Linked DNA regions of Oryctolagus cuniculus. The protein of the gene in region 7 purifies or fractionates together with the protein of the main gene of each other region. This does not show direct contact. Links are inferred from orthologs where the notes say so. Each region holds a gene or a part of one and is shown on either strand. Other genes may lie near its edges. The genes, in order: RPS6KA3, ARK2N, RPS6KA1, SSRP1, NKAPD1, EIF3J and CSNK2B.

The links.
Region 1: the proteins of CSNK2B (region 7) and RPS6KA3 purify together in Homo sapiens (affinity purification with mass spectrometry; 5 studies listed by BioGRID and IntAct, with this or other methods). This does not show direct contact. The link is inferred for Oryctolagus cuniculus from reciprocal best matches to the Homo sapiens genes CSNK2B and RPS6KA3.
Region 2: the proteins of CSNK2B (region 7) and ARK2N purify together in Homo sapiens (co-immunoprecipitation; 3 studies listed by BioGRID and IntAct, with this or other methods). This does not show direct contact. The link is inferred for Oryctolagus cuniculus from reciprocal best matches to the Homo sapiens genes CSNK2B and ARK2N.
Region 3: the proteins of CSNK2B (region 7) and RPS6KA1 purify together in Homo sapiens (affinity purification with mass spectrometry; 4 studies listed by BioGRID and IntAct, with this or other methods). This does not show direct contact. The link is inferred for Oryctolagus cuniculus from reciprocal best matches to the Homo sapiens genes CSNK2B and RPS6KA1.
Region 4: the proteins of CSNK2B (region 7) and SSRP1 fractionate together in Homo sapiens (co-fractionation; 5 studies listed by BioGRID and IntAct, with this or other methods). This does not show direct contact. The link is inferred for Oryctolagus cuniculus from reciprocal best matches to the Homo sapiens genes CSNK2B and SSRP1.
Region 5: the proteins of CSNK2B (region 7) and NKAPD1 purify together in Homo sapiens (affinity purification with mass spectrometry; 3 studies listed by BioGRID and IntAct, counting the BioPlex papers as one, with this or other methods). This does not show direct contact. The link is inferred for Oryctolagus cuniculus from reciprocal best matches to the Homo sapiens genes CSNK2B and NKAPD1.
Region 6: the proteins of CSNK2B (region 7) and EIF3J purify together in Homo sapiens (co-immunoprecipitation; 3 studies listed by BioGRID and IntAct, with this or other methods). This does not show direct contact. The link is inferred for Oryctolagus cuniculus from reciprocal best matches to the Homo sapiens genes CSNK2B and EIF3J.

The regions. Positions count from the first base shown.
Region 1 is NC_091453.1:6,322,380-6,326,364, reverse strand, and holds the start of RPS6KA3 (ribosomal protein S6 kinase alpha-3), read left to right. Parts: upstream 1-1,185; 5' UTR 1,186-1,530; coding exon 1,531-1,599; intron 1,600-3,985. UniProt on the Homo sapiens protein: Serine/threonine-protein kinase that acts downstream of ERK (MAPK1/ERK2 and MAPK3/ERK1) signaling and mediates mitogenic and stress-induced activation of the transcription factors CREB1, ETV1/ER81 and NR4A1/NUR77, regulates translation through RPS6 and EIF4B phosphorylation, and mediates cellular proliferation, survival, and differentiation by modulating mTOR signaling and repressing pro-apoptotic function of BAD and DAPK1.
Region 2 is NC_091441.1:31,335,697-31,339,966, forward strand, and holds the start of ARK2N (protein ARK2N), read right to left. Parts: upstream 2,801-4,270; 5' UTR 2,539-2,800; exon of another isoform or gene 2,329-2,538; intron 1-2,328. UniProt on the Homo sapiens protein: AMPK substrate important for exercise capacity and skeletal muscle function.
Region 3 is NC_091438.1:144,950,243-144,953,742, reverse strand, and holds part of RPS6KA1 (ribosomal protein S6 kinase alpha-1), read left to right. Parts: intron 1-1,716; coding exon 1,717-1,797; intron 1,798-1,931; coding exon 1,932-2,011; intron 2,012-3,310; coding exon 3,311-3,417; intron 3,418-3,500. UniProt on the Homo sapiens protein: Serine/threonine-protein kinase that acts downstream of ERK (MAPK1/ERK2 and MAPK3/ERK1) signaling and mediates mitogenic and stress-induced activation of the transcription factors CREB1, ETV1/ER81 and NR4A1/NUR77, regulates translation through RPS6 and EIF4B phosphorylation, and mediates cellular proliferation, survival, and differentiation by modulating mTOR signaling and repressing pro-apoptotic function of BAD and DAPK1.
Region 4 is NC_091432.1:14,784,035-14,788,291, forward strand, and holds the start of SSRP1 (FACT complex subunit SSRP1), read left to right. Parts: upstream 1-1,457; 5' UTR 1,458-1,545; coding exon 1,546-1,599; intron 1,600-2,030; coding exon 2,031-2,216; intron 2,217-3,193; coding exon 3,194-3,299; intron 3,300-3,551; coding exon 3,552-3,742; intron 3,743-3,831; coding exon 3,832-4,062; intron 4,063-4,257. UniProt on the Homo sapiens protein: Component of the FACT complex, a general chromatin factor that acts to reorganize nucleosomes. The FACT complex is involved in multiple processes that require DNA as a template such as mRNA elongation, DNA replication and DNA repair.
Region 5 is NC_091432.1:104,018,910-104,023,152, reverse strand, and holds the start of NKAPD1 (uncharacterized protein NKAPD1), read right to left. Parts: upstream 2,801-4,243; 5' UTR 2,662-2,800; exon of another isoform or gene 2,102-2,661; intron 932-2,101; 5' UTR 924-931; coding exon 855-923; coding exon of another isoform or gene 848-854; intron 274-847; exon of another isoform or gene 1-273.
Region 6 is NC_091443.1:67,490,370-67,493,869, forward strand, and holds part of EIF3J (eukaryotic translation initiation factor 3 subunit J), read left to right. Parts: intron 1-37; coding exon 38-152; intron 153-3,500. UniProt on the Homo sapiens protein: Component of the eukaryotic translation initiation factor 3 (eIF-3) complex, which is required for several steps in the initiation of protein synthesis.
Region 7 is NC_091436.1:138,947,093-138,951,379, reverse strand, and holds the start of CSNK2B (casein kinase II subunit beta), read left to right. Parts: upstream 1-1,487; 5' UTR 1,488-1,506; coding exon 1,507-1,578; intron 1,579-2,643; coding exon 2,644-2,746; intron 2,747-3,306; coding exon 3,307-3,422; intron 3,423-3,829; coding exon 3,830-3,905; intron 3,906-4,049; coding exon 4,050-4,239; intron 4,240-4,287. UniProt on the Homo sapiens protein: Regulatory subunit of casein kinase II/CK2.

The DNA.
Region 1 (3,985 bases), on a different chromosome or scaffold from region 7:
TGCAGGGCGATTAGCCAGGGGCTGCAGTAGCTTTCCACTCTGCGCTGTGACTTTTACACATTTCTGCCCAGGCGTGCGACCCGCAGCACCTGGCGAGGTGAACACGGAGTCGCAGCCCCCTGGGATCCACTCTGGATGCCCGGGCCTCTGCCCCTCCAAGCTCTCTGGGTCTTCTGAGGCTCTGTCGCTGTTTGAGGATTGGGTTTCCTTAACGCAGGGCTTCCCCATCTTGGACAGGAGGAGGAGTCAGAACCCCTCCCCTCCCTCTCTCTCTCTCCTCCTCCTCCACCCACGCCAGCCCGATTTTAATCTAATCTTTTATTTAAAGTCAACAGAGGAGCAGGAATCCTGCGCTCTTGCCCACAAGATATTCTTTAATAAGTCCCCAACCTCTGCCGAGAGGGGCAGCCTTAAGGAGCCTGCCTGTTTTCTCCTTGAAGATTTAGGTAGCAGGGAGTAGGACGCTTCGAGGGTTCCGGCAGAAGCCTGAGCGCTCTGCGCACTTGGGGAGGGGAGTTGGCCGGAGACGGGGCGGGAGGGGTGGAGGACGACTTGTGTAGGAGAAATGAATTCTAAAGCTCAAGAATTTAACACAACAGCACCAACTTGCAGAGCTTTGTATCAAACCGGGAGCCGTTCCGAGGCACTAAGCCTTCCAGATCCCCATTGGGGAGAGCGGGCAGGTGAATGCCCAGCGTGTGACCCTGGGGAGGGAGAGTCTTGGGTCATTATGGGATGTGCCCATTGACTAGGCGCGCCCGCACGCACCCTCGGAGGAGACAGGATGAAAAGATACTCCGTGCCCGCATCCCGGGTCCTTGGCAGGCGCCTTGCCTATCTCCCTTTCCAATTGGGCGAGGGCCACTGTTCTCTGTCGTTCCCAAGGCACCTCCGACCTGCTAGGACCCATGATAGCTCCCAGCCTTTCGCCCCCTCCTGCCTTTTCCATTTCTTTCCTCCGCCTCCGGCCGACGCCCCCAGATCTCTTGGGCTCGCCCTTCCTGAAAGTAGGCGAGGCCCAGAAGCTGAGGCTGGGGCGAAGACCGAGGAGGGTGGGAAAGGGGAGGAGCGGAGTGTGGCTGCCCGGGGGCGTGTTCTCCGCTAGCCCCACCCCTGGGTGCGCGCGGCGGTGGCGGCGGCGGCCCAGCCTTGCTCTGAGAGACAGGTATCGCTTAGGCGCCATGTTGTGAGCGGAAGTGGGGAAGCGCGCGGCGGTCGCTGTTCTGCTGGGAGCGGGCGCGGGAACCGGCGGCGGGGGGCGGAGCCGTAGTCCCAGCGGCGGAAGGAGGAGAGGAAGAAAGGGGCGAGACCCAGTGCCCGGCGGCGGCGCAAGGCTCTCGCTCGGCGTGCGGGCGTCTCCAGCCAGGCGCTAGGCATTCGGGCGATCGGTGTCGGCGTCGAGCCCTCTGCGGGGCCGCCGCTGCTGCTGCTGCTGTTGCCGCCGCTGCCGCTGCCGTGGGGCTCGGGCGGCGACGGAGCGGGGCGGGCGGGGAGGGAGGAGGCGGTGAAGGCAGCGGGCCGGGGGGGAAGATGCCGCTGGCGCAGCTGGCAGACCCGTGGCAGAAGATGGCTGTGGAGAGCCCGTCCGACAGCGCTGAGGTGAGTGCAGCGGGGCGGCCGGGGTCGGCGCGCCCCCGCCGTCTCGCTTCCCTTCCCGGAGCTGGCCACTTGGCCCCTTCTCCCGCTCGCTCTCCCCCGGGTCCAGGATTCCGGTTCGGGTTGTTGGGGTTGGTCTGTTTGCCCGTCTGTCTGTTCCTCCCACTCGCACCCTCACCTCCCTCCCTCGCTCGGGGGGCTGCCGGTGTGGCGGCGCGTGGGGTGTGCAAGAAGCCAATTATCATCAACTTTGCGTGGGGGGAAGCGGTAGGCGGAGTGGGGGGCAGGCGAGGAGTTGGGAAGTTTGGCCCTGCCGGGTCGGGGGCTTCCTTGGATCTTGGCCACTTTCCGGGGGGCCGAGGGTAGGCTATGGATTGGGTTCAGCGGGGAGCAGGGAGTCTGGCCGAGGGAGGGGGTTGCTGCGGGCAGACTGGCGCACCGGGGCATGAGTGTCGACCCTAGGGCGTTTCGGCAAGGGGTGCCGGACAGCCAAGGGTTTCGCCTCTCCTCCTCTGCTCCAGCGCTTTCTGCTGCGGCAGGGGACAAAGTGGAAGCCTAAGGTCTTCTGTCTCCCCTTCCCCCTTGTTTCTGAGGTCCCTGCGAGTTTAACTTGAGTTCCCCGTGCGTGGAGGCATGGAGGTGAGAGGGTGATATTCAAGGAGATCAGCGGCTGCCGTAAAGGGCTTTCTGGTTTCCTCTCCCGGGAGCTGGTGACCGTCCCCGAGACACTCAACCAAGTGCCACGAACCCATACAGTACACCCAAAGAGGGGGCAGAGCAGAATCTCCCCGGACGCAGCGCAGCCGCCCCTGTCCCAGAACCAACTCGGGGTCTGCGACAGTAATCCAGACCAGAGCTGTTCTGGGTATCCGCGCTCCCCTCCGGAGTGGAAAATCAATTCCTGATGGTGGCGCGTCTGTGATTCTTCCTTCTTGACTTTTTGCTGTCTACTATCTCCGCAGCGGACTTTGGAGGATTACAGGATGATAGGCTGCGTGTGTGTAATAGTTAGTGAGTGACCCCATTTCTGGAAAGCATGACTGAAACGCGGGGGTGGAATGGGGCAGGCTCTGAGTGGTGTACTTGGCGGCAGCCGCTGCCCTGCAGTGTGAGAGGTGGATAGGGTTACTGGTTACGTCAGTAAAAGCCAGGCTCAGTTTGATCTGAGATGCGGGACACTTGCATTCTCCGGTATAATGGAGGGGGAGGGGGATCGGTTCAAATTGCTTTTCAGTTTTTTCCCCCAGTCACCTCCGCTGCTGTATAAAAATGTTAACTTGTTCTCCTTAAGGCGAGCAGAGTTGTAATAATGCTTCCGATCGGTGCTTAGTATTTTGTGTTTTGGATCGTACTTCAGAACCTAAACTAAAAGCTGCTCTTCCATTGGAAACACAATGATACTTATTATCTAAAAGAAAGAAAAAGAAAATCATTTTTTAGGACTGGCAGATTTACAAGAATTTCATTTAAAATTGTTAGCTCACCTAATACTAGAAATCTTTTATAAGCAAGCCAAATTTGGAATGTGTAATCATCGTTTGAATGGATAGTGTGCAAAACAGTATGCCAGAGGGCTGGTTTTTCCCTTTAACTTCAAAAATGTTTTTGCATTAAATATAGGCAAAGGTTAATAAATGTTCTCAAAGCACTGAACTTGTGCAAAGAACTTGAATTTGCCTTCAGACTGATTTTTTTTTTTTAGATAGACATTAAAAGTTACAACTCAGATCCACATTTCTGCTTGGCATGTTTCAATATGTAAAAAAGATTATTTCAAATTCTACTTTATCCTTTTTCTGTATAGCATGCATTTGGATGAGGTAGGCACAACACTAGTATTAATTTACTTAGCACCTACTCTATGCCAGGTACTATGCTACATTCTGTTTGATCTTTTCCTTCATATGACCTGGTAGGACAAGGTTATGGTCTCCATTGTTAGAAATTAGGGAACCAAGTCTCAGAAGTTAAGGGCACAGAGATTATAAATAGGAAATGGCAGAGCCATCATCTGAAGCCAGGTGGCTACAGTTCAGGTGCTTTGCTTTATATTAGGATAACTACTTCAAATCCTTTGTGGAAAACTTTGGGCTATAAGTACATAAGCAGTAGTCAGAGGTCCTGTATTTTTCAGAAACAAGTCTCATTTATTAAAGCCTTGTTATTGCAGTTACTGTCATGTTTTCCCAAACCTGGCAGATAGAATTCTACAATTTGCCATTTTCTTGTTATTCTGTCATAAAGTATGTCAAACAGAGCCAATGTTGCCTAGATTTATTAAAACTAGATTTTGACTAATTTCCTTTCGATATTTTGTTTCCTTTGGTTGTTCATGATCTGATACCATTTGGAAAAATAGAACCAGTGAGGAAAGAATTGAGAATTTCCA
Region 2 (4,270 bases), on a different chromosome or scaffold from region 7:
CTTGCAATAGATCAGGTAGGGCAGAATACTATGGAAAACACATAGATAAATATGTCAAAACATCATCTCGCCTTCATTCCTTCCATGAGCTTTTTATATGCCTGTGGAGCCACCCACCAGGCTGGGCACCCAGGCCACCGATGTGACCAGAGGAGGTCCTTCCACGTGCAGGGCTCAACCCGATCTGCCCCAGTGGGCAGGACAGACATGAGGTCACCTAGCATTAGGACTACATGACCATGTAATAGAAATATGCACCACATCTACTAGAACCGAGACAAGGAAGCTGCTGACCCAGCCTGGGCTTCTGTGGGGAGGCCTCACCTGGGAGGAGATCTCTGAGCCATGACTCCAAGAATGAAGAGAATTTTGCAGCATAGAGAAGAGGAAAAGCATTGGAGAAAGGTATCACAATGGAGCCAGGCATGCTGAGAATGAGCGTGCTTAGAAGTAGACACTTGTTTGGGAGTGTTGAAGGCAGTGGTGAGAGGAGTTTAGAAAGAATGGAATTCCCAAGGAAGGAAAACTTCAGAACCTGGACTTTCTGGATGTGTCTTCTTTCTCCTTGCTGGAGTGGAAGTATGTGTAATAAATCTCTTCCTCATCTGTGGTTTTGTACCAATTAAGAAATAAGACACAGGTAGTAGGTGATTTAATTTTTTAAAAAGGTTTGATCGATTTATTTGAAACACAGAGAGACAAAGAAAAAGATCTGCTGGTTCACTCCTCCAAACACCCACAACAGCCAGGACTGGGCTGAGCCATAGCCAGGAGCATGGAACACCATCTGGATCCCCCATGTGGTAGCAGGGACCCAAGTACTTGAGCCACCCCTGCTGCCCCCAGGGTGTGCATTCTCAGGAAGCTGAGTTGAAAGCAGATCTGAGACTCAAACCCAGGGACTCTGATGCAGGATGGGGGGCAGCCCAGACAGTGACTTCACCACTGTGCCAACCACCTGCCCAGTCCATATTTAAATATCAACTTTATGGCGGGTAGAATCTCTGTTGGAGGACATGGTGCACACCTGCAGGCCCCACACACTTCCTAGTATGCTTGTGGCTAACGTAGACAGCCCTTCCCTAGCTGCAAGGGGTGCTGTACTGTCCCCCCGGTTCCCTGGAAGGCAGATGTGGGACCTGATGAGCAGCCCAGAATATCCCCTCTCTGTAGGCAGGCAAGTCCTTGCTGGCTTTGCTGAGCGTATCCAGTTCCTTCCCCGAAAACTACCAAGCAGGCAGGTCATTCTTCTTCCATAAAGAGGCCAGAAACAGCAGAATTGTGGCTCACTTGGCAAGGCAAGGCATGGAGGCCCCACCCCACAACTCACGCCCACCCTGTGGTTGCCACATTGCTATTGTTTTCAGAAAGAAAGAACTCCCTCCTATTTGTGCAGGAAACTAACTTTTTAAGGCCCTTTCACATCCATACAACAAAGAAGAAATCGTCTAAGTCCACTTCCTGGTTTTAGGGATGATAAAAGCCAGGCTTGGGGGATTCCAAGATTCGTCAAGGGCCTCGCAATTAGGAGTCACATATCTGCCAGCATTAACAAAAGTCACAAGTTCATTTGGCTTTAAGGTCCCCAACCCCAAACCTTCCTCCCGTGCCTTCCCACAGCAGCTGTCCTGCAAACCAGCACAACGGTTTAAACATTTGCATGGCCAGGCTTGGGGGGAGGGTGTGAGCCCCAGTCCATCTGAATTTCTAGGGGTTGAATACACTGGGCATGCATGAAAGAGATGAATGGCAGAAGAATTAGAAGACTGGAGACAGAAAATGCTTTTTCAGAAATGGGTGAGGAGAGGGTCTTTCAACAACAGAGTGGTGAACTTGGCATTGCTGTGAGGCCTCTGCCGGGCTGGTACCCGGGCACCTCTCCTCCTCCTCCAGGGATCTTTAAAGGTCATCTTGGGCTCTGTCCTCTGCTTCATCCCTATCAAATTTGTTTCCAAGTTCTCTCATGTCTCCTGCTTTTCCATCTCTGCTGCCACATCCTGGCCTGGGTCCTTATCACTTCGTGCTGGGCAGGACTCATGTGTCTGGGTGGGGTGGCCTGGGAGGCAGCAGGGAGGCTATCTGGGGAGATCAGGCTGCAGTCCACAGTGGCTTCTATCTCTCCGCCCCCACCCCCCATGGCCTGTGTGTTCCTCCTTATCAGCTCTCTCCTGAGTACCCCTGGCCTCACCTCACTCAGCCAGACACTGCCCACACTGGAGGCTTCCTCCACCCCCCAGCCTCTTCCTCAGGTTTCAGTTAGCCAGCTGCCCACAGAGGGCCACACACTTATTCTCCCTGAAATAGAAGTGACCCGTAGCAGGGCTTAATGAGATCATCCCCCGAGGAATTTAATAAGGGACAATCCCTTGAGCCAGTGGGAAGAGGGTGTCATACGGCTGGTGAGGGAGGGTGAGGGGACAGAAGGCAGAGGTCCACCACTCCACCTCTGGGGGGCATGGGTGGTCTGGGACCCCCGGAACTGGAAGCAGGGAGATTTGGCAGATGCACTGGGTGAGAGAGCACAGAATACAGCCTCACCTGCTCCTGAAGTTTGCTGCGAGCTGGCAGGAAACCGATGGCCTCCTTGACTCAGCTTCCCGTGAGTTCTCCCAGCTGTTTCTAGAAGTCACCAGCCCAGGAGCTTTGGGTGTCTCCAGACAGACTCTGCGAAGAGCGGACTCTTTGCCCCCTCCTAAATCCCCGGAAACGGGGGCAGGTGTCCAGCATAGTGGCGCTGGCCTTGCGGGGCAGGGGAAAGAGGATGTTTTGTTCTCCTTGCTCTTGAAAGCCGATCGCCTCTGCAGTCGGAGCTGTGCCAGCTGTGGGCAGTGGCCAGCCCGGCAGATGGGGCATTGAGAACACGAGGCGGGGCCTCAGCTCTCTGCTTGTCTTTCTGCCTGGGCACCAGCAACCCCAATGGCACACCTTCTTGGCACCCACACCCCCATCCCACGTGCAACCCCTTGGAGGACAGATCTTGTCTCTCAGCACCAAAGCTTCATACATAGAGCGAGAGCCTGAGGGACTCTGAGGCATGACTAGTGCAACCATCTCCCCAGTTTCCAGAAAGCAACTGGACACAGGGAAGTTATGGGACGTGCCTAGTGCATGAATTTTATTGATGCATAACAAATCACTACCAGCTAGCAGATTAAAGCAACACACACTTATTAGCTCGGTTTCTGTCCATCAGGAGTCTGAACTCGCTTGGCTGACTCCTCTGTACCAGGGCTGCACCAGGCTGCAACCCAGATGTCAGCTGTGACTGCAGCCTCACCAGAGGCTCACACGGGGAAAGACCTGCTCCCAGGCTCCCTCAGTGGCTTCCAGAACTCGTATTCTTGCTCTTGTAGCACTGAGGTCCTATTTTCTTGCTGGTAGCCAGGTGGATACTCTTGCAATTCAAGGCTGCCCACAGTTCCTTGCCAAGGGGCCTCTCCACGGGGCTTCATGACTTCTTCAAAGCCAACAATTGGGACAGTCTGTGACCACAGGGAGGGTCTAGTCTCTCTTTTAAAGCCTTTTGCTTGATGAAGTCAGGCTCACCCAGGATAATCAATGTTTTCATTCAAGAAAATCAACTGATTTGAGACCTAATTATATCTGCGAAATGTTTTCACCTTTACCAAATTCTGTTTGCTACTAACAAGTCACAGGTCTGCATGAGGGATCTCCAGAGAGGTAGAAACAATGGAAGAGAAAGAGAGGGGAGGGTAAGGAGAGGAAGGGAGAAAGGGGGCAAGAGGAGGGGATTTTTCAGGGGAATGGGTTCATGTGATTGTGAGGCGGAGAAGTCCCATCTGCCGGCTAGAGCTCCTGGAATGCTGCTAGCATGGCTCAGTCCAAGTCCAAAGGCTTTGTGGTTTCTTCCATTAGTCCTTTGAGTCATCAGAAGGGCAAGAGCCCAGCTCTGCAGGGAGGTCTCTCAAAATCCCTCCTCGTTACAACAGAGAAGCCTCAGTACATGGAGCCAGGCCCACCACAAGTCCAGGACGCCTGCAAAGTGAGAGACTGATCTCCAAAACTGGGTCCATTCCTGTAACCCAAGAGAACACGCAGGGCGGGCGGAGTTGGAGGGTCAGGAGAGACAAGGGAGGAGTTGCATTTGGTGCAGTGGTTTACTCACTACTTGGGATGCTCCCATCCCATGTTGGAGAGCCAGAGTTCAAGTTCTGGCTCCATTTCCAATCCAGCTTCCTGCTAATGTGCACCCTGGGAGGCAGCATGATGGTTCTGAAGCTTGGGGCCCTGCCACCCACATGGAAGACCC
Region 3 (3,500 bases), on a different chromosome or scaffold from region 7:
CTCTCTCACTCTCTCATGCTCTCTCTTTCTCTCTCTTAACTAATGCAAATGAACAAAAGCCAGTGCTTTGAAGAGGAAGTCCAGCACTCTTAGTCTGAAGTTAGCCTGAAGTGACATTAGTCCTGGTCAGAAGTAGCTGGAAGGCCCTCGTCCAGCTTGGGAGGCTAAGGGGGAGGTGAGACCTGACTGAGGGCAGGAAGACCAGCTGATGTCTGAATCAAGATATTTTTGGTAAAGGTTTATTTATTTGAAAGTTACAGAGAGAGGTAAAGACACACACACACACACACACACACACACACACAGGTCTTCCGTCCACTAGTTCACTCCCCAAATGCCTGCAATGGCCAGAGCTGAGCCAATCTGAAGCCAGGAGCTAGGAGCTTCATCCAGGTCTCCCACATGGGTGCAAGGGCCCAAGGGTTTGGGCCATCTTCTGCTGCTTTCCCAGGCCATAGCAGAGAGCTGGATTGGAAGTGAAGCAGCCGGGACTTGAACCGGCTCCCATATGAGATGCCAGTGCTGCAGGCTGGGGCTTTAACCTGCTGCACCACAGTGCCGGCCCCAATATTTAAATATTTTTTTTTTTTTTTTTTAAATTTGAAAGGCAGAGTTACAGGGAGAGAAGGAGAGAGGGAGATCTTCTATCTGCTGGTTCACTTCCCAAATGGCCGCAACGGCCCAGGGCTGGGCCTGGCTGAAGCCAGAGCCAGGAGCTTCTTCTGGGTCCCCATGTGGGTGCAAGGACCCAAGGACTTGGGCCATCTCCATCTTCTGCTGCTTTCCCAGGTGCATTAGCAGGGAGCTGGATCAGAAGTGGAACAAATGGGACTTGAACCAGCGGCACTCAGGGATGCCAGTGTCACAGGCGGTGGCTTCACCCTCTACGCCACAGCGCCAGCCCTGCAACTTCTATTCTTTAAAAAAATAAGAAAGGGGCTGGCGCTGCGGCGTAGCGGGTGAAGCCTCCACCTATGATGCTGGCATCCCATTTGGGCACCAGTTCGAGTCCCGGCTACTCCACTTCTGATCCAACTCCCTGCTAATGGCCTGGGAAAGCAGTAAAGGTGGTTCAAGTGCCTGGGACCCTGCACCCACATGAGAGACTCCGAAGAAGCTCCTGGCTTCAGATGGGCCCGAGCTCTGGCCATTGCAGCCATTTGGGGAGCGAACCTGTGGGTAGAAGACCCCTCCCTCTCTCTCTTTCTCTCTGCCTCTGCTTTTCAAATAAATAAATAAATATTTTAAAAAATAATAAAATAAAAAAATATGTGGGGAAGCCCACCCAGACCTGTGGCTCAGAGTCTTGGGCCCAGGGAATCTGTCTCCCTAGTCAGCTTCCCGGGTGAGCATCCGCGCCAGCCGCTTCTAGAATCTGGGCTTTGTCTGCTAGAGGACAGGGGCTGGTCGAGGTGCCAGGGAAGATGTGGGGCTCTGACAGCGTGGTGCAGAGGGACACGGGTTGTTCAGCCTGGCCGGAGGCGTGCTGGAGCGCAGGGCTAGACAGATGGGCACTGCCGAGGGCTGGGGGCTGAGAGCAGGCCTGGAAGCCGGGACCAGACCCGGAACGGAGGAGGCAGTGTGAAGTCAGCGTCCCCAAAGCCTGGGGCACAGAGCCCCAGGAGCTCGGGTCTAGTGAGAGCCCTCGGGTGGCCCTGGGGAGTGAGTGGGTGTGCCGTGTGTCCGGCACCGGGTGACTGCCTCTCCTCTGGCCAGTGCGCGACCGCGTCCGGACCAAGATGGAGAGGGACATCCTGGCCGACGTGAACCACCCCTTTGTGGTGAAGCTGCACTATGGTGAGACTGCAGCCCTTCCCCGAACTCCCGCACCAGCCCGCGCTCACCCTGGCCGGTGGTCTACACTGTCCAAGCTCCCACCTGCAGGCTGAGGGGCAGGTCACACGGCCGGTGACTCTTGCCCCTCTCCCCAGCCTTCCAGACAGAGGGCAAGCTCTATCTCATTCTGGACTTCCTGCGCGGTGGGGACCTCTTCACACGGCTCTCAAAAGAGGTGAGCAGATAACCCACTGACGGACCACAAGGCCTCCCACTCCTGGGTCCCGTACGGCCTGGGTGTGGAGCCACCTAGGCCTCCCCAGGTGAACCTGATCCAGGCCTTGTCCGGCCTGGCAGCGCCTCCGAGAGTTCCTCCCCAGTGGATGGAGGAGGGCTAGGCCCTGGGTCTGATGTTCACCGACTGGGGGGAGCTCAGGGTGCCTCTCCCCTGTGTGTCTTTCTTCTTCCAGGCTGCCCTGGGCAGAGCTGGGAGCAGCCAGGAGAAGCCCAGATGTGGCCGGCGCCGCGGCTCACTAGGCTAATCCTCCGCCTAGCGGCGCCGGCACACGGGATTCTAGTCCCGGTTGGGGCGCCGGATTCTGTCCTGGTTGCCCCTCTTCCAGGCCAGCTCTCTGCTGTGGCCCGGGAGTGCAGTGGAGGATGGCCCAGGTGCTTGGGCCCTGCACCCCATGGGAGACCAGGAAAAGCACCTGGCTCCTGGCTCCTGCCATCGGATCAGCGTGGTGCGCCGGCCGCAGCGCGCCGGCCGCGGCGGCCATTGGAGGGTGAACCAACGGCAAAGGAAGACCTTTCTCTCTGTCTCTCTCTCTCTCTAACTGTCCACTCTGCCTGTCAAAAAAAAAAAAAAAAAAAGAAGCCCAGATGCACCGAGAAAGCGGGAGACTCGCACACTCTTGTCCCACCTGTTAGCCAAAAGATTTTGAACTGATATAAAAGGATTTTGAGCCAGATACGAAAAATACGGTCATTAACACAATTCCAACTTTAAAGAGAACCAAGCTTTAAAACAAGGGTGGGGGGGGGGGGGTTGGTTTAAACCTTATTGCGGTGTTTGCATAGGTAAAACATTTACATGATTCAAAAGAAAAATATTTATGGGGAAGGCTTCCTCCTACCCCAGTGCCCTGTATCCCCTATCAGTAAACATTTTTATTGGTTTCTTGTTGAACCTTCCCATGTTTCTTCTGCAAACAAATCCCAGGTGTGTTCTGAATCGCCGCCGCTCTGGATACCATGCCCCCTGCCTCGCTGCGTTCCTTCCAGGCTGTGGGAAGCTCCTGTCCTAGTTCATAGCTGTGCACCAGTCCTTCTGCAGGGGCCAACAACACAGTTCCTCCCAGGCTTCGGCCCTGGGACCCCTGGGCTGTTTCCCGACAAAGACCACCACCCTGGGCAGCCATCATTTCATACTTCAAACCCCGTGATGATACGGAGGGCCGAGGAGGCTAGACCCTAGGGACAAGGAAGCTGCTGCCTGCCCAGGGCCCACTGAAGCCCCTCGCGCCTCTTGCAGGTCATGTTCACAGAGGAGGACGTGAAGTTTTACCTGGCCGAGCTGGCGTTGGGTCTGGACCACCTGCATAGCCTGGGCATCATTTACAGAGACCTCAAGCCTGAGAAGTGAGTGACCCCCCAGCCCCACCCTGGCCTCCCTCGGGGGTGCACAGACAAGGGCTGGGGCCTCTTCTAGAACAGGGTCACCT
Region 4 (4,257 bases), on a different chromosome or scaffold from region 7:
CTTATCCCAGGACTGAGTTAGCAAGCTGGTGTAACCAGCGTCAGGGAAATCTTGAGTTTAAATATCCCGTGTAACGAATGCTTTTCTGCAGGACACATGGGCTCAGTGGCTCGGGACGTAAAACCACTGTGGTTACAGCAGAAGAGAACGGGACCGGAGTCCGAGGCGGCTTCCTGTCTCCACCTGGGTGGCCGACTCCCAGAGCCGCTGGGCAACTGCTCTCCGCAGGAGGCTGGAGGAGATAAACTCCAAACCTCTCTCCCAGCTCAGGCCGGCTCTGATTTTGCAAGGTGCACCTCTTCCAAGATGAGCTCATGTGGTTTCCAATCAGTTCTGGCTCTAAGGTGAACCCGACACCAGCGCTCGAACTCGATCCTGCCATTTGCCAGTCACTACCAGCGCCACTGCGGTTACAGAGGTGCAGAATTTGGGTGTAGACGGTGAACTCATTTCAGAAAGGATCAATCCCACTTAGCAGGGGGCAGCCGGCCAGCAGGCCTGCCACAAAGGACACGAACGCCCGCACGCGTTTCTCTCCGCAACTCTGAGGTATTTTTCTTCGTGTTCCACAGCTTCCTTTCTACCCCTAGAAATTAACCCCTACAGAAATTAACCCCCCAACCTCCGAAATCTGACAAAAATAAAGCCACGGTACACGATTTCCCTTTAGGATCCAGTCTCCGCTTGACGTGTCCGCAACGTTCTAAGAAGCCCGATGAGCCTTCATTTTCTAGTCAGTCGGACTTCACCGCTACCGCCCCGGCCTCGGGTCCTCCAGCGTCGCCGTCGCTCTAGGCGACTGTCTCTGCGGCGGGCCTGGTTGGCGTCTCTCTAGCCAGCTCATCCTCTCGATGGTCAGTGCGCGGCTTCCGGTGGCGGGACGCGGGGCCGCGCACGCGGGAAAAGCTTCCCCAGCTAACTCCCGTTCCCCGCGTCCCCGCCCCCCTCCCCCGCATCCCCCGAAGCGCCCACCGCCCGCGCCCGGCCCGTCGCGAGGCTGCAGCTTGAGGAGGTGGGTGGTCGTCGTCCCTGGGCCCCGCTCCCCCGCGGGACGCTCCGAATGGGCCGTTCCGCGTTCGAATCTGCAGGCAGCGGGCGAATCCATTTTAGCAGGAGGGGAGAACCATGAGGGCCAGGATGGAACCTAGCGCTCTGAGCTGGGTTGGGGCGCGGGAGATGTGCACGCTGCGGGCAGGCCTTGGGGTTCCGCTGCTCGTTACCATGGCTCCCGGTGTGGCGCGCAGAGAGGGTGTTGGCTTGGGGTGGTTCTGCGGGCCTGGGATTACCGGGGCTGACCCCCGGAGCACGGCACAGCCGGCCTGTTGGTTCCCGGGCAGAGGAGAGTCTGTGAACCCCCAGGGGCGGCCACCTGGCTCCATCCGTGAGCAGAGCGCGGCGCTGCGTTTCATGACTCTCTCTTGAATTCAGATTCCCAACCTGCTGACCATCTGCACACTCACCCAGGACTTGGGGCCCAGCGCCCAGTGTATTCGGTTTCCCTTGTGAGGCCTAGGGCTCTGCCCAGGCCACCAGGGGCAGGTCAACATGGCAGAGACACTGGAGTTCAACGATGTCTATCAGGAGGTGAAAGGCTCCATGGTGAGAAGGGCTTGCGTTTTTAATAGAGATGGAAGGAGGGAGCGAGCTAAAGTTGATGTACATGAACGAGAGCTTGTCCTGGTGACGTTTCTACTGGGAAAAGGAAGTCTCTGTATAACGTGCACCTGGTGTTTCCCCCCAATAAAAGGCAATTCTGAAAAGTCGCGAGAGTTGTAGGATCTCAGGGTGTGAAGGGACCGTATTTGCTATTCTGTGTTTCAAACGAGGAGACTGATGGCCTGCGCAGGTTCTGGATGCCCGAGCCAGGTGCAGAACCGAGACTTCCTGGACACTTGTGTCTCTTTACTGGTCCTCGCTTCAGCTGTTGCTCCTGCCCTGATCACCTGGCAGTCAAAGTGAATGCTGGGTAGAGCTGCACCCAGGACACGGTCTGTACTGTCCCCGTGCATCTGGGCTCACTTTCCCAACAGAATGACGGTCGGCTGAGGTTGAGTCGCCAGGGAATTATCTTCAAGAATAGCAAGACGGGCAAAGTAGACAACATCCAGGCTGGGGAGTTGACGGAGGGCATCTGGCGCCGGGTGGCTCTCGGCCACGGACTTAAACTGCTCACGAAGAATGGCCACGTCTACAAGTATGACGGCTTCCGAGAATCGGTGAGACGCCCTGTTGCCGTGAGCCCCCTTTTTACCGTGCCATCCTGTCTGCTTTTAGTCTTCTAGAGGGAGTTGAGGTTCCCTCTGGTAGCCCCCGTGGTGCTGGTTTGGCTCCCTGGGCAGGGCCATTGAGGCCATTGAGCAATCAGTGGGTCAGCTCTGAGTGTTCTAGAGCGTTCACAGCTTTTCTGTGTTTTGGTTCCAGAAGATCTGCTTCCTACTGTTCTGGTTTAAATCGTGCTTTCTGCTTGTTTGCTCGTATCCAGGTTCAGAATCTTAGCTGGATGCTTTAGTTCAGGCTTTGCTTTTCCCTCTTAAACTGTTCTGAGTGAAAGACTTAACTTTAATGTCCACTTCTATTAAAACAATGAACACACAAAGTTTAGGAAGTCAGATAACATGGTGAGGTCCAGAAACAGGAATGCCAGTCCCTCTCTTTACTCCTCCCCTAGTCTGAGGTCCAGCTCCCAGGAGCAGCCTCTCTCCACAACCTTTTAAACCATTTCAGAGCTGAGCTGCTGAGTCAGCATGGACTTTTTTTTTTTTTTTTTTAAGACTTATTTATGTATTTGAAAGGGAGAGTTACAGAGAGAGAGAGAGAGAGAGAGATCTTCCATCCACTGGTTCACTCCCCAAATGGCTGCAAAGGCCAGGGCTGTACCAGGCTGAAGCCAGGAGCCAGAAGCTTCTTCTGGGTCTCCCATGTGAGTGCAGGGGTCCAGGGGCTTCGGCCATCTTCTGCTTTCCCAGGCGCCTTAGCAGGGAGCCGGTTCAGAAGTGGAGCAGCTGGGACTTGAAGCAATACCTTTATGGGGTGCTGACACTGCAGGCTGTGCCACAGCACCAGCTCCCTGCATGGATTTTTTGGTAGAAGTCCTATTGGGGCAATTTTTTGGATATAGGTAATGTCAGGACATTCGTGTCGGTTAAGGCCACTGGAGCTGACTGTGGTTGCACTTTCTCCCTTCCACTCATAGGAGTTTGAGAAACTCTCTGATTTCTTCAAAACTCACTATCGCCTTGAGCTAATGGAGAAGGACCTGTGTGTGAAGGGCTGGAACTGGGGGACGGTGAAGTTTGGAGGTGAGTCTTGGGGAGCAGGTAGGATCAAGGGCTGCAGCCTTTCTTATTCTCTTCCTCTGCCACAGTCTCCGGTTTCCTGTCGGGTGGGTTGCTCAATGCACCTGTGGTGTGTCAGGCTTTGTGCCTGGTCTCGGGGTGCAGCGTGAACAAACAGCCCCGGCACCCCGCCCTTACGGAACTCCAGGTTCGGTGGGCTTCTTGTCGATGCAGACGTGGGGGGAGCCTGAGGCTTGAGCAGCCCTCTTCTCACAGGGCAGCTGCTTTCCTTTGACATTGGTGACCAGCCGGTCTTCGAGATACCCCTCAGCAACGTGTCCCAGTGCACCACAGGCAAGAACGAGGTGACGCTGGAATTCCACCAGAACGACGACGCGGAGGTGTCCCTCATGGAGGTCCGCTTCTACGTGCCTCCCACCCAGGAGGACGGCGTGGATCCCGTGGAGGTGAGGCCTCCCCAGGCGCCCCGGTGCAGACGGGGCTGAGCAGGCCATGGGCTGGCCTGCTGCCGGGTTAACAGTGTGTGCTTCGGCAGGCCTTTGCCCAGAACGTGCTGTCCAAGGCGGACGTCATCCAGGCCACTGGAGACGCCATCTGCATCTTCCGGGAGCTGCAGTGCCTGACTCCCCGTGGTCGTTACGACATCCGGATCTACCCCACCTTTCTGCACCTGCACGGCAAGACCTTTGACTACAAGATCCCCTATACCACGGTACTGCGTCTCTTCCTGCTGCCCCACAAGGATCAGCGCCAGATGTTCTTTGTGGTGAGCAGAGCCCCTGGGGGCGGAGGATCCCGATTTTTGTCTGAGGACTTTCTTTTTTTTTTTTTTTTTTTTTTTTTTTTTTGACAGGCAGAGTGGACAGTGAGAGAGAGAGACAGAGAGAAAGGTCTTCCTTTTGCCGTTGGTTCACCCTCCAATGGCCGCCGCGGCTGGCGCGCTGCGGCCGGCGCACCGCGC
Region 5 (4,243 bases), on a different chromosome or scaffold from region 7:
CAGGGCCCAAGCACTTGGGCCATCCTCCACTGCCCTCCCAGGCCACAGCAGAGAGCTGGACTGGAAGAGGAGCAACCAGGACAGAACCCGGTGCCCCAACTGGGACTAGAACCCGGGGTGCCGGCGCTGCAGGCGGAGGATTAGCCAAGTGAGCCGTGGCAGCCGCCAAGGTCCCCTGATCTAACTTCTTGCTAATGCATCCAAGGAGGCAGCAGATGATGGCCCCTCCATGCAGTGGGAAATTCAGATGGAGTTCCTGGCTGTTGTAGGCATCTGAAGAGTAAAACAGATAGAAGATATCAGTGTGTGTGTGTCTGTCGCCCTTTCAAATAGATGAAAATTTAAGAGAGAGAGAGAGAGAGAGAGAGCACGGGCGAGAGCGCGCTAGTAGTTCATTCTCCAAATGCCCTCAATTGCCAGAGCTGGGTCAGGTTGAAGCTGAGAGCTGGGAACACAGTCCAGGTCACCCATGAGGGGACAGAACCGATTAGTTGAGCCATTGTCACTGCCTCCCAGGGTCTGCATCGGCACAAAGCTGGAGTCAAGAGCTGCAGTTAGACACTGAACCCAGATACTCTAATGTGGGTCGTAGGTGTCTCAACAGCTAGGCTATATGCTTGCTCCCTGTGCAGTCTTTTCTAATTCCCCAACACAGATTTCCTTATTCCTTCCTTGGTACTCTAAAGTACTTTGCAGCTATCTCTACTATATAATACTTATGAAACTATTTTTATCTATTTAAGTAGATAATAAATTGTTCATTCACTTTGGACTCCTCAACTGTATCAAAACAATCCTTGTCACACTGTATGATCTCAATAAGTGTTGAGGAATGACTGGGTTGTACCTCCCACCTTATTGTGAGCATCTGTGTGCCGGATGACATTCCTCAGGAGGACTTTCCCCAAAGGAACCCGGGACATTCTTCAATCTGAAATGAGTCAATAGATAACACTTAGTAAGTATTTCCTTTACCTTACTACCATTGCTTTTATTAAAGTTCATAAAAAAGCATGAGGTAAAGCAAAGAACATTGGACTAGAAGTCAGAGGAATAGTTTTTCCTTTACCATTAAAGGGGGGAATAGCCTGTAATGTAAGGATGAAAGAAGATAACATACATTAAAGTTCTTTGAACAAGACTGCACAAAATTAAGCACCTTTTATTTAATCCTCATAATAACTCTATTTTATATTAGGCAAATACAGTCATCCTTCAATAATCATGGAAACTGGTTCTGGAACCATCACCACCCCCAACCCCCCACCCATAGACACCAAAACCCATGTATGCTCAAATCCCTTATGCAAGGATACTTCAAAAAGCTCATGGAAAATTGAATTAAAAGGTATGTCTACTTTGGTAGAAAAAGTATTTGAAATCAATATAGTTTTTTTTTTTACAATATACATTCTTCATGAACTCTTTAAAGAACCCCTCATATGCATGGATTTCTCTCTCTTTTTTTGGCAACAAAGTAAACTTAGCTTTTAATTCCATCTTCCACTAACTTTCTGAAGTACTTTCATATAAAATGGCACAGTACTTGCATATAACCTATGACATCTCCTGTAGGCTTTAGAGCATCTCTAGATTTCTTCTAATACCTAATACAACATAAACGCCATGGAAATCATTATCATGCTATACTGTTTAGGGAATAATGAGAATAAAAGTCAGTACAGACAATTTTCCCCCCCAAATATTTTCATCCTGCTGTTCCTTGAATCCGAGAATGCAGAAACCGGTACCAAAGGCCAAATGTATAATATCTCCATTCTTATCTTCTAGATGAAGCTCCCTTCAAGTTCTAACTTGCCTCATGCAAACGACTATATATCAATGTCCAGATCAGATGTCAAATCTGGAACCCCAAAGTTTGCAATGAAGTAACACCCAGATTCGATAGCGTCAGAAACTACCCGTCTACAATTACAGAAACTGATGCCTTTTAGGCATGAAATGCAAGATGACCGAAATTTCTCCATTCGGGGCATCGTCAATCCTATTTTGTACAGAAGTTTCCTAAAACTAGATTAACAAGAATATTCACGTGTGTGGTCACCAGGGGTTTTGTGCGACCACCCCAACGCTCACTCACCCCTCGATCCTGAGGTAATCAGGCATCTTGTTAGTGTGAGACGAAGAACCACTCCATTACAAGATCTCCATCGACCCAGGAAGCCAAGGAGTCAGGGCTCAAAGGCAGCTCTGCAGCTTCACCCGAGTCCTTCGTGAAAACGGAGCCTTCCCACCGGTTACTCTGCCCTCACCCGTGGCCCAGGCCACGGCTGCCTCGCCCCAGCCCAGCCCGACAGGCAGATGTTTCTCCTGGCTGAGGCCGGAGGCTGCGCCGGCGCGGAACCCGGACCGCCCGGTTGACCGGGGCATCGCCCGCTGACGCTCCGCTGGAACGGACACCGGGGGTTGGGTTTCACTCCCCAGGAAAGAAGGGGGACGTTTTGGAGTGGTACGACCTTCCGTTGGGCCCCAGGAAGTGTCTACGGTGCCTGACGGGGCCTTTGGGGTTTCCAGGTAGAAGACAGAGAAAACACCCCCATCTTTGTCACCGGGATCCCTGTCCCCCAGCGGCCTTGGAGCTCCCGGTGACTCTCCCTATAAACTCCCTCCCCACACAAATACACACAAACACACCCATACCGTGCGCCGCAGCCTCGCGTGGCGGGGGTGGGGGGGAGGAGGCGGTCTGGGAGAAAAAGGAGGGGGCTTCCCTTTCAGGCCGGAAGCCGTGCTTGGGAGAAATTCTTCCCACCAACGGGAGCGGCGGCGACTCCCGCTGGGGAATTTCCTGGGCAGTCTAGGGGCCGACCCCTGCAGAAGGGAAGCAGGCCCTTTCTTGGAAGTCAAGTGAGTCCGGCTCAGCTAAAAAGTAAGCCGGACCTCAGAAGGGGAGATTCCGGAACTAGATGTAAACACTTTCCGCCTGGAGCTTCCCGGACCCAATTAGGTGTTGTACCCAGTCCGGTTACCCGGGAAACAAGTGTCGCGATTTGGGAACCGAGAAGAGGTGGGTTTGCGGACCTTAGGAATGATTGCCCGTTAATTGCATTTCCTATTTAGTCTAACACTAAGATAGTACTGGAAGACTCTAAACCTCTTGGGCTCTTTTCAGGGATGTTGTGGGACACCTCTCTGACGGGGGGTGGGGGGGTGGGGGGTGGGCGGGGCGAGGAGGGTCATCCCAAGACCTAGAGGAGTTACTCATAGGTCATCCAAGTGTTCCAGCTTCTCCGTAAAGTGGTTCTCACAATGACCCAAAGGAGAGAAGTATTCCTTCTTTAAGAGAAGAAAAAGAAGAAGAAGAAAAAAAACACCTGAGGCACTTTCGTACATTAATTACTGGAAGTCACACTGCTTGTAGGAGAGAGCTGAGATTGGAACCCGGGCCTTCTCTATCCACTAAAGGACTGAAATTCTGTGGTACTCACCCCTACACAATTCTGGCGATTTCACGTTTGAGGATGCACCATTCAGCCAATACTCAGGGTGTAGGAACAAGGCGATCACCAAGAAATCCAGACTTAAAGTGACTGCTTTGTTCCCTTGGGGTTTTTGACGGTCCAAGTGGAGGTAAGGCCCTATCTGAGAGGACAACTGGAGCACTTTGTAAAGGCTACTAACCAATGACAGAATAAGGAAAACATTTGGGGCTTGCCTGTTAAGTTGCTGTCTGCGATGCCGGCATCCCATATGAACACTGGTTAGAGTTCAGTCCCGGCTGTGGCACTTCCTATCCAGCTCAGACCCAGATAGAGTTCCAGGCTCCTGCCTTCTGTCTGGCCCAGACCGGGCTATTGGGGCCATTTGGGGAGTGAACCAGTTGATAGATCTCTCAGCTGCCTTTCAAATAAAATAAATTACAAAACAAAACAAAACAAAACACGGGGCCAGCACTGTGCCTAGCATCTTAAAGCCCCAGCCTGCAGCGGGAACGGGTTTGAGTCCCAGCTGCTTCACTTCCAATCCAGCTCCTTTGCTAATGTACCTGGGAAAGCAGATGACTCTGCACCCACGTGGGAGACCCCAAAGAAGCTCCAGGCTCCTGGCTTTAGATGTGCTCAGCTCCAGCATTTGTGGCCATTTGGGGGAGTGAACAAGTGGATGGAAGACCTCTCTAACTCTTAAATAAGTCTTTAAAAAAAAATACGTAGGGCCATTGCTGTGGCGTAGCGGGTTAAAGCCCTGGCCTGAAGTGCCAGCATCCCATATGGGCGCCGGTTCT
Region 6 (3,500 bases), on a different chromosome or scaffold from region 7:
AATTCAGCTCTTTTAAAACTTTTCTGTCTCCTTTTAGTTAGAAGAACCAGAAGAACCCAAAGTGCTAACACCAGAAGAACAATTAGCAGATAAACTGCGGCTAAAGAAATTACAGGAAGAGTCAGACCTTGAATTAGCAAAAGAAACTTTTGGTAAGTTGAGGGTGCAAAAAAAAATGATGAGGGTACAGATTAGTGCAGTATTAAACTGTTCCACATGGAAATTCCAGAAGTTTTACTAGTTACGAAGAAAAAAAAATTTTTTTTTTTTTAAGATTTATTTATTTATTAGAGAGGCAGAGGTAGAGAGACAGAAAGAAAAGTGTTCCATCTGCTGGTTCACTCCCCAGATGGCTGCAACGGCAGGAGCTGAGCCAATCCAAAGGTAGGAGCCAGAAGCTTCTTCCAGGTCTCCCATGTGGGTGCAGGGGCCCAAAGACTTGGGCCATCTTCTGCTTTCCCAGGCCATAGCAGAGAGCTAGATGGAAAGTGGAGCAGCCAGGATGGGATGCCAGCACTGCAGGCAGCAGCTTTACCTGCTATGCCACGGCACCGGCCCTGAAAACATCTACTTTTTTTTTTTTTTTTTTAAAGAAAACAGTAGTAGCTAATTTAGGTATTAGAAAGCAGTTTTTAATCTCTTTCTGTATGTTTGAGACTTCATTACTTGAGAAGGTAGAGTAGGGTATGTGTTCAGACTTTTGAATAATTGTTTTGAGTTTCAAAACAGATTAAGATAGAAAAAGTCGATGGACTCAAAGCACATTTTTTTTTCCTTAAGATTTATTTATTTGAAGGCCAGAATTAGAGGCAGAGAGAGAGAAAGACCAAGATCTTCCATATGCTGGTTCACTCCCCAAATGGCCACAATGGGGGGAGCCGGGCCAATCCAAAGCCAGGGATCAGGAGCTTCCTCTGGATCTCCCACGTGGTTGCAGAGGCCCAAGCACTTGGCCATCTTGTACTGCTTTCCTAGGCTATAGCAGAGAGCTGGATTGGAAGTGGAGCAGCCAGGACTCAAACCAGCACCCATATGGGATGCTGGCACTGCAGGCAGTGGCTTTACTTACTACACTACAGTGCCAGCCTCCACACTTCCTAATAGAATATATTCATCAGCTGAATGAGATTTGGATGAATTGCAAGGTTTGTGGCCTTGAATTTTTTTTTTTTTTTTTTTTTTTTTTGTGGCCTTGAAATTTAAATACTGAACTGACTGTAGGGCTCTCCTGTTGCCTTAAGAGACTTAGACCACAGCTAGGGCACTCAGTTTGGCTGTGTCTTGTGCTCAGGATGGTTTCTTTCTATGACCCTTTTGGCTCTCACCATGGCATATATCTTTAGAGGACCTCCATTTCTATATTGTACCTGCAGCAGTGGTTAGTGCATGAGATAAAAGAAACCTGTAGGTCCTATAAATAAATACATTCAGAATGCTCCAGGGGGGAGAGTTCCATGGCACAGAAGGTAGACATGGCCCGAGCTGAACAAAAGTTTATTGACGTTGTTACTTACTGAATGCTTTTCAGAGAAGTTTGTAAAGTTTTTGAAAGATTTATTTATTTGTTTGAAAGGCAGAGTTAGAGGGAGACAGAGAGATGGATGGATGGACCTTCCATCTGCTTGTTCATTCCCCAGATGGCTGCAGTGGCCAAGGCTGGGCCGGGCTCAAACAAGGAGCTTCTTCGGGGTCTCCAAAATGAATGCAGGGGCCCAAGCACTTGAGCCGTCTTCCACTGCTTTCCCAGGTGCATTAGTAGGGAGCAGCCGGGACTCTAATCGTTGCTCATTCAGGATGCCAGTGTTATAGATGATGTTAACCCACTGCACCACAATGCTAGCCCCAGAATAGAATATTGCTGAAATTAAAAACCTTGAGGGGCCGGTGCTGTGGCACAGCGGGTTAAAGCCCTGGCCTGAGTGCTGGCATCCTCTATAGGTACCAGTTTGAGACCTGGCTGCCCCACTTCCAATCCAGCTCTCTGCTATGGCCTGGGAAAGCAGTAGAAGATGGCCCAAGTGTTTGGGCCCCTGCACCTGCATAGGAGACCTGGAAGAAGCTCCAGGCTCCTGGCTTTGGATGAGCACAGTGCCAGCTGTTGCAGCCATCTGGGGAGTGAACCATCAGATGGAGGACCTCTCTCTTTGTCTCTCTGTGTAACTCTTTCAAATAAATAAATAAATCTTTAAAAAAAAATCCTTGAAATTGAAGTCTATATAAGAAAGATCTGCTTATTCTTTCTCCCCTATCCTTTGTCTTATCTAAAATGGATCAAGCAGGCTGACTGTTGTGATTGTTCCGTTTTTATGATTTATTTATTTGAAAGGCAGTGTTAGAGAAAAGGATAGAGAAAGAGATCTTTGATCTGTTGGTTCACTCCCTAAATGGCCGCAATGGCTGGAGCTGGGCTGTTCCACAGCCAGGAGCCAGAAGCTTCTTCTGAGTCTCCCGTCAGTGGGGCTTTAGCAACCTCAAGCGTTGTGGATGCTCCTGTGTACCAGCGTATGCTTGGCAGGTCTTCAGTGTGTTCATCTAATTCTAGAGGGCACTCAGCCATTATGTGTTTTTATAGGATGGTGAGAACTGCCCTTAAAGAGGTAGGTTTATGCAGTGTACAGAAAACTTAAGTGTGAGACATCAGCTTCAGATTAAAAGGTAAAATCAATATACACTCATTGTCTTTGGCTTACCGGATTCTACTGTTCATTCTCTCATACTGAAATTCTGAATCTGTGGTATTAACAACAACTAATTTTCTAGGTACTGAGAAGGATGGAAAGCATACTTATCCCCGAGACTGAAATTCTTTTAGGTAGATTAATTTTTCTATTGGTATTTACCACATGGTTTGCCCCTGCTTAGCTTCTACATTTATTAAAATGTCTTGGAATTTATTTTCATTTTATTTGATAGGCAGACAAGGAGACAGATCTTCTATCTGCTAGTTTACTCTCCAAATGCCAGCAATAGCCAGAGCGGGGGCAGGTTGAAGCCAGGAGACTGAAGCTCAGTATGCATTTCTCATTTGGGTGGCAGGTACCCCTGTACTTGAGCCATTACCTGCCGCCTCCCAGGATGCATGTTCACAGGAAGCTTGGTTGGAAGTGTGCCAGAACCAGGCATGCCAGTATGGGCTATGGGTGTCCCAAAGGAACCTTAACGGCTGAGCTTCTGGATTTAGTGAACTGAATATTTTTACAGAATCCATCTTTGTTTCCTATGCCTTATTCCCTTGTCTCCCCAATTTATTGTGGGTTATTCTTGGATAGCCTTTTCATGAGAGCATCCTTTTCATGATATGGATGCCTTTAGCAGCTGATAAAACCTGTGGACCTCTTCCTAAAATACATATTTTAATTAAAAATTTTTCCTTTATATTTGCATGGCAGTAGGAGATCTTCCATCTGCTGATTCATTCCCAAATGCCTATAACAGCTGAGTCTGCATCAGGCCAAGGCCAGGAACCAGGAACTCAGTGTTTATCTCCATGTGGGTGGCAG
Region 7 (4,287 bases):
AACCTGGGAAGCCAGCTTCTGGCTTAAGAAAGTGCCTGAGACGGAGGGAAACCTGTGGAAGGCCGAGAAGTTGTGAAATGAAATAACGCCACACTACCCCCTCACCATTACTCGGAGCAGGTTCGAAGGGCACGCGTAGAGCCCTCAGCTGAAGACCCCATTCAAGCCCTGGGAGGAAATGGAGAAGTGCAAGGGGACGAGCAGCAGGATGGCCGGCGCCGCCTCAGGTTAGCGCACCGGGCCGTCCTGGTTGTCAATAACGCTCAACTCAGGACAGACACACCCGACCCAGGTCCCTCAGCACGGAGCCCGTTCGTACCTCCCACCTCAGAAGGCCCGAGCTCAGGGTAAAACGTGGGGCTCTCCTGTGCAAGGCCGTGCCCGACTTGATAAGAACTAGGAGGGTTGGCCAGGGCTCACTGAGGGTCCCCGAGGGCAACGTCTGCGACCCGACTCGCCTCGCTTCTTCCCCCGCCCCCTCTTGGCCCCTCAGTCCAGTGAGCATACGACTCTATTTCCCAGGCTCCTGGCCCCGAACGCCTTACTTGGCTTCCGCTTCCGGTGGCGCCTCGCTGTGCCCCGCCCCCGAGCCGCGTCCTCGGGGGCCTCGCGACACGAGGGTCGTGAGTGAGCTGTCCTGGGATTCGTAGTTCGCTTTTCCCTCGCTTCGCCGGTCTCTCGCCCTAGCGGACTCCATCTCCCAGCGTCCACCGCGGCTCTCGCCCCTCGGCGCTTGCGCGTTGCCCTCTTCCCCACCCTCCCCGATTTCCACTCCCCCCACCCGACTTCGCCTGCCGCGGTCGGGTCCGCGGCCTTCGCTGTAGCGGTCGCCGTCGTTCTTTGGAAGCAGCTGTTCCCCTCCCCCACCCCGGTCCCGCTCCCCGTCCAGCTGGTGAGTGTGAAGTGGTTGCCCCGCGGAGTTCCCGGTCCCTAGGAGCGGCACATGGGGTCTCCCCGCCTTGAGGTGGGGGCGAGGAAGGAAGTGACCCGGTCCGTAACCGTGGGAGGGAAGGGTGGCCGGAGAGCGGGAGGCAGGCTGTGGGGACTCCGTGAAAGAGTACCTGGCGGTGCCCGCCCCTCGCCCCGGGTCGTGAGAAAAGGAGGTGTCGGTCGTTGCTTGGCAAAGATAAACTTCTAATTCTTGGGGAAGGGTGCCGGAGCCCTGCGGTGGTAGGGAGCCCGAGCCGAGGACTCTGCCAGAGTTGACACAGGCGAGAGGGGTCTGGCCATCGGGGGCGCGGGGGATGTAGGTAGGGACTGCTGGGTCGGTACTTGTGGGCTCCTGCCAAGGAATTTCTAAGTTCATTCAGAGAAAAGGGGCCGAGGTGTAAATAACAAGAGCTAGAGAAGCCTGTCCCAAAGGCTGGGATCCTTTAAAAAAAAAAAAAAAAAAAAGGGTGGCCCCAAATTCTTCCATGGCTGAAAGACAGAGTGTGGGAGGAGGGAAGGTGCCAGAGCCGGGGAGGGAGAGCTTGGACTTGACTCCTGTTTCCAGCTGACGTGAAGATGAGCAGCTCGGAGGAAGTGTCCTGGATTTCCTGGTTTTGTGGGCTCCGTGGCAATGAATTCTTCTGTGAAGTGAGTGCTTTTCGTTCTTCCTACTCGCTGGTTCCATGCGTTCAGGTTGGGTATCTTCAGCTTTTGCACACTTTATCCCGTGGAAACTCCTTCCCGTGAAAGAAGGGGTCCCCTCAGTAACCCCCCACTAATCAGCGGCGATGTGGCAAGACTGGGGCCCAAGTCCCATTTCTGTCACACACCCCACCGCACCCCCAGGAGGATAACATTGAACTAGTCAGACCATCTTTTTTTTTTCTTTTTCTTTTTTAATTTTTTTATTGTACTTAAAGTATCTGAAGGTAGAGCAACAGAGAAAGTGAAGGATCTTCTGTCTACTGGTTTATGTCCCAAATTTCTACAACAGCTACTGCTACCAGCCAGGCTGAAGTAAAGATCCCAAAACTTACCTGGGTTTCCCATGTGGGTGGCAGGGACTCAAGTACTTGTGCCATCACCCTGCTACCTTCCAGGGTGTGTGTTAGCAAGAAGCTGGAATTGGAAGTGGAGTTGGGACTTGAACCTGAGCATTCCAGTTTGGGATGTGGGTTATCTCTAACCATGTAGGAACCACCGTGCCAAGTGTCCTTTCTCCTTTGCTTTTTCATTACTAGAATGCTACTGGTAGTGCTTATCTCTGGGGGCTGTTAGGAGAATTGGAATACTGCACCTTAAAATGTTCTGTAACATGCAAAGCTCTGTGTTGACATAAGGAATTCTAACCACCTTCAGAAACCAAGCTGTTCAGCCTCCACCTTCCTCAGAGAGCAGCTGTTCCCTCAGGAGAGGACAGAACTGGTTCCTAGAGATGAGGAACAGGACTAGAGACGCGGGAGTCGAGTGTGTCTCTAAGGAGACTGCTGTGCTTGCTTGTCCTTGGAGGAGAGAAGCTGGAGCTTTCACGGGGGGGAGGGCGTGCGTGTGAACTCGGGACAGCGGCTGAAGTACTGACGCTGAGTTGGAGTAGGAAACAGGCAGACCAGACGCAGCCGTGTGGCCGACAAGGCGTTCGTTAGGTGACCTTGGCCAGCTCAGAAGCTGGGGGTCCCAGTAGGAGTTTTCCTCTTGACCTCCGTGTTCTACCAGGTGGATGAAGACTACATCCAGGACAAATTTAACCTTACCGGCCTCAATGAGCAGGTGCCTCACTATCGACAAGCTCTAGACATGATCTTGGACCTGGAACCTGGTGAGACACCCTCAAGGTTCATGGTGGGGGGGCTGTTTTTCTCTTCAAATTACCTCTTGAATTTACCTCTTGAATTTCTAAACTTCCTTTTGGTTCTCTGACACCCTTAACCTCAAAGTCCCAGCAGCATTTTTGCCCCCCTCCTTGAATTCTTGCCTAGTTTTGTGACTGATAGCACTTGCTGCCATACTTTCTGAATTTGTAGCTCAGCGCTCCTCCTTATGCGAGTTTCCTCGCGGGTCTTGTTTACTGCCTCTTTGCCTGCCTTGCACCCTCCAGTCTAGAGTTCCACCTTCTGTGTTGACATCTTTGTATTTACGTACTAAGGAAGGAGTTGGGAGGGAGAGAAGAGAGCAGAGGCTGAAGAGGTGTGGAGAGAAGGCTGGGCTTCCTTGGGTTGGTGGAAGGGGCAGAGACCCAGGTTAAATGCCCACGTGAGGACTGGGTGAAGCTCAAGGATGGGTGCTGGGCAAACTGGGCAGCCAACAGCCCTGGGGGTGGGCGGGGCACCTGGGAAAGCTGGAACGCCAGTGGTTGCATGTGGCTGGCCCATATTTCAGACGAAGAGCTGGAAGACAACCCCAACCAGAGCGACCTGATTGAGCAGGCGGCCGAGATGCTTTACGGATTGATCCATGCCCGCTACATCCTCACCAACCGAGGCATCGCCCAGATGGTGAGGCCTCTCTGCGCCTGCGTGACTCCTTGTGAGGCAGTAAGGGAAACAGGTTCCTACAGTGAGCAGTAATCTGGCAGCCCTGTCAAGGAGTCGAGCTGAGATGAGAAAAACCCAGAGTTTGGGCCGGGAAACTGAGTCCTCCCTGGACGTCCTGCTGAGGGGGTGTCTTCAGGGAGGGCGATGTGAGCTTGGTCAGAGTTGTGGACTGCTTCTTCCTCAGAGAACAGACGGCAAATGGCCCTGGATGTCATTAGCCTCCCTAACTGGGGGGAAAGTTGGTGGGCCCCTTTGATCTGCACAAGGACCTCCAAGAAGAGGGAGGAAATGTGGAGGACAGAGTTATGTGGGGGTCGCTGCTTATCCTCATACCCACCCACCAATCCCTTCCATTTTTTTCCCTTCAGTTGGAAAAGTACCAGCAGGGAGACTTTGGCTACTGTCCCCGTGTATACTGTGAGAACCAGCCAATGCTTCCTATCGGTGAGTATTGAAGAAGGGAGAGGGGGCACCATCTGGCAGTCCTCTGGGAAGGAGTTGGGCTCAGCAAGGCGGGAGCTGAGTTCTGGGGCAGGGGACTCGGCAGTGTCGCGGGTGCCTGGCCTGCTGAGTCTGGCTGTCTCCCAGGCCTGTCGGACATCCCAGGTGAGGCCATGGTGAAGCTCTACTGCCCCAAGTGCATGGACGTGTACACACCCAAGTCATCGAGGCACCATCACACGGATGGTGCCTACTTCGGCACTGGTTTCCCTCACATGCTCTTCATGGTGCATCCCGAGTACCGGCCCAAGCGACCCGCCAACCAGTTTGTGCCCAGGTGGGGAGCAGACAGAGTCACCATGTGTCAAAGGAAAGACTCAGAATC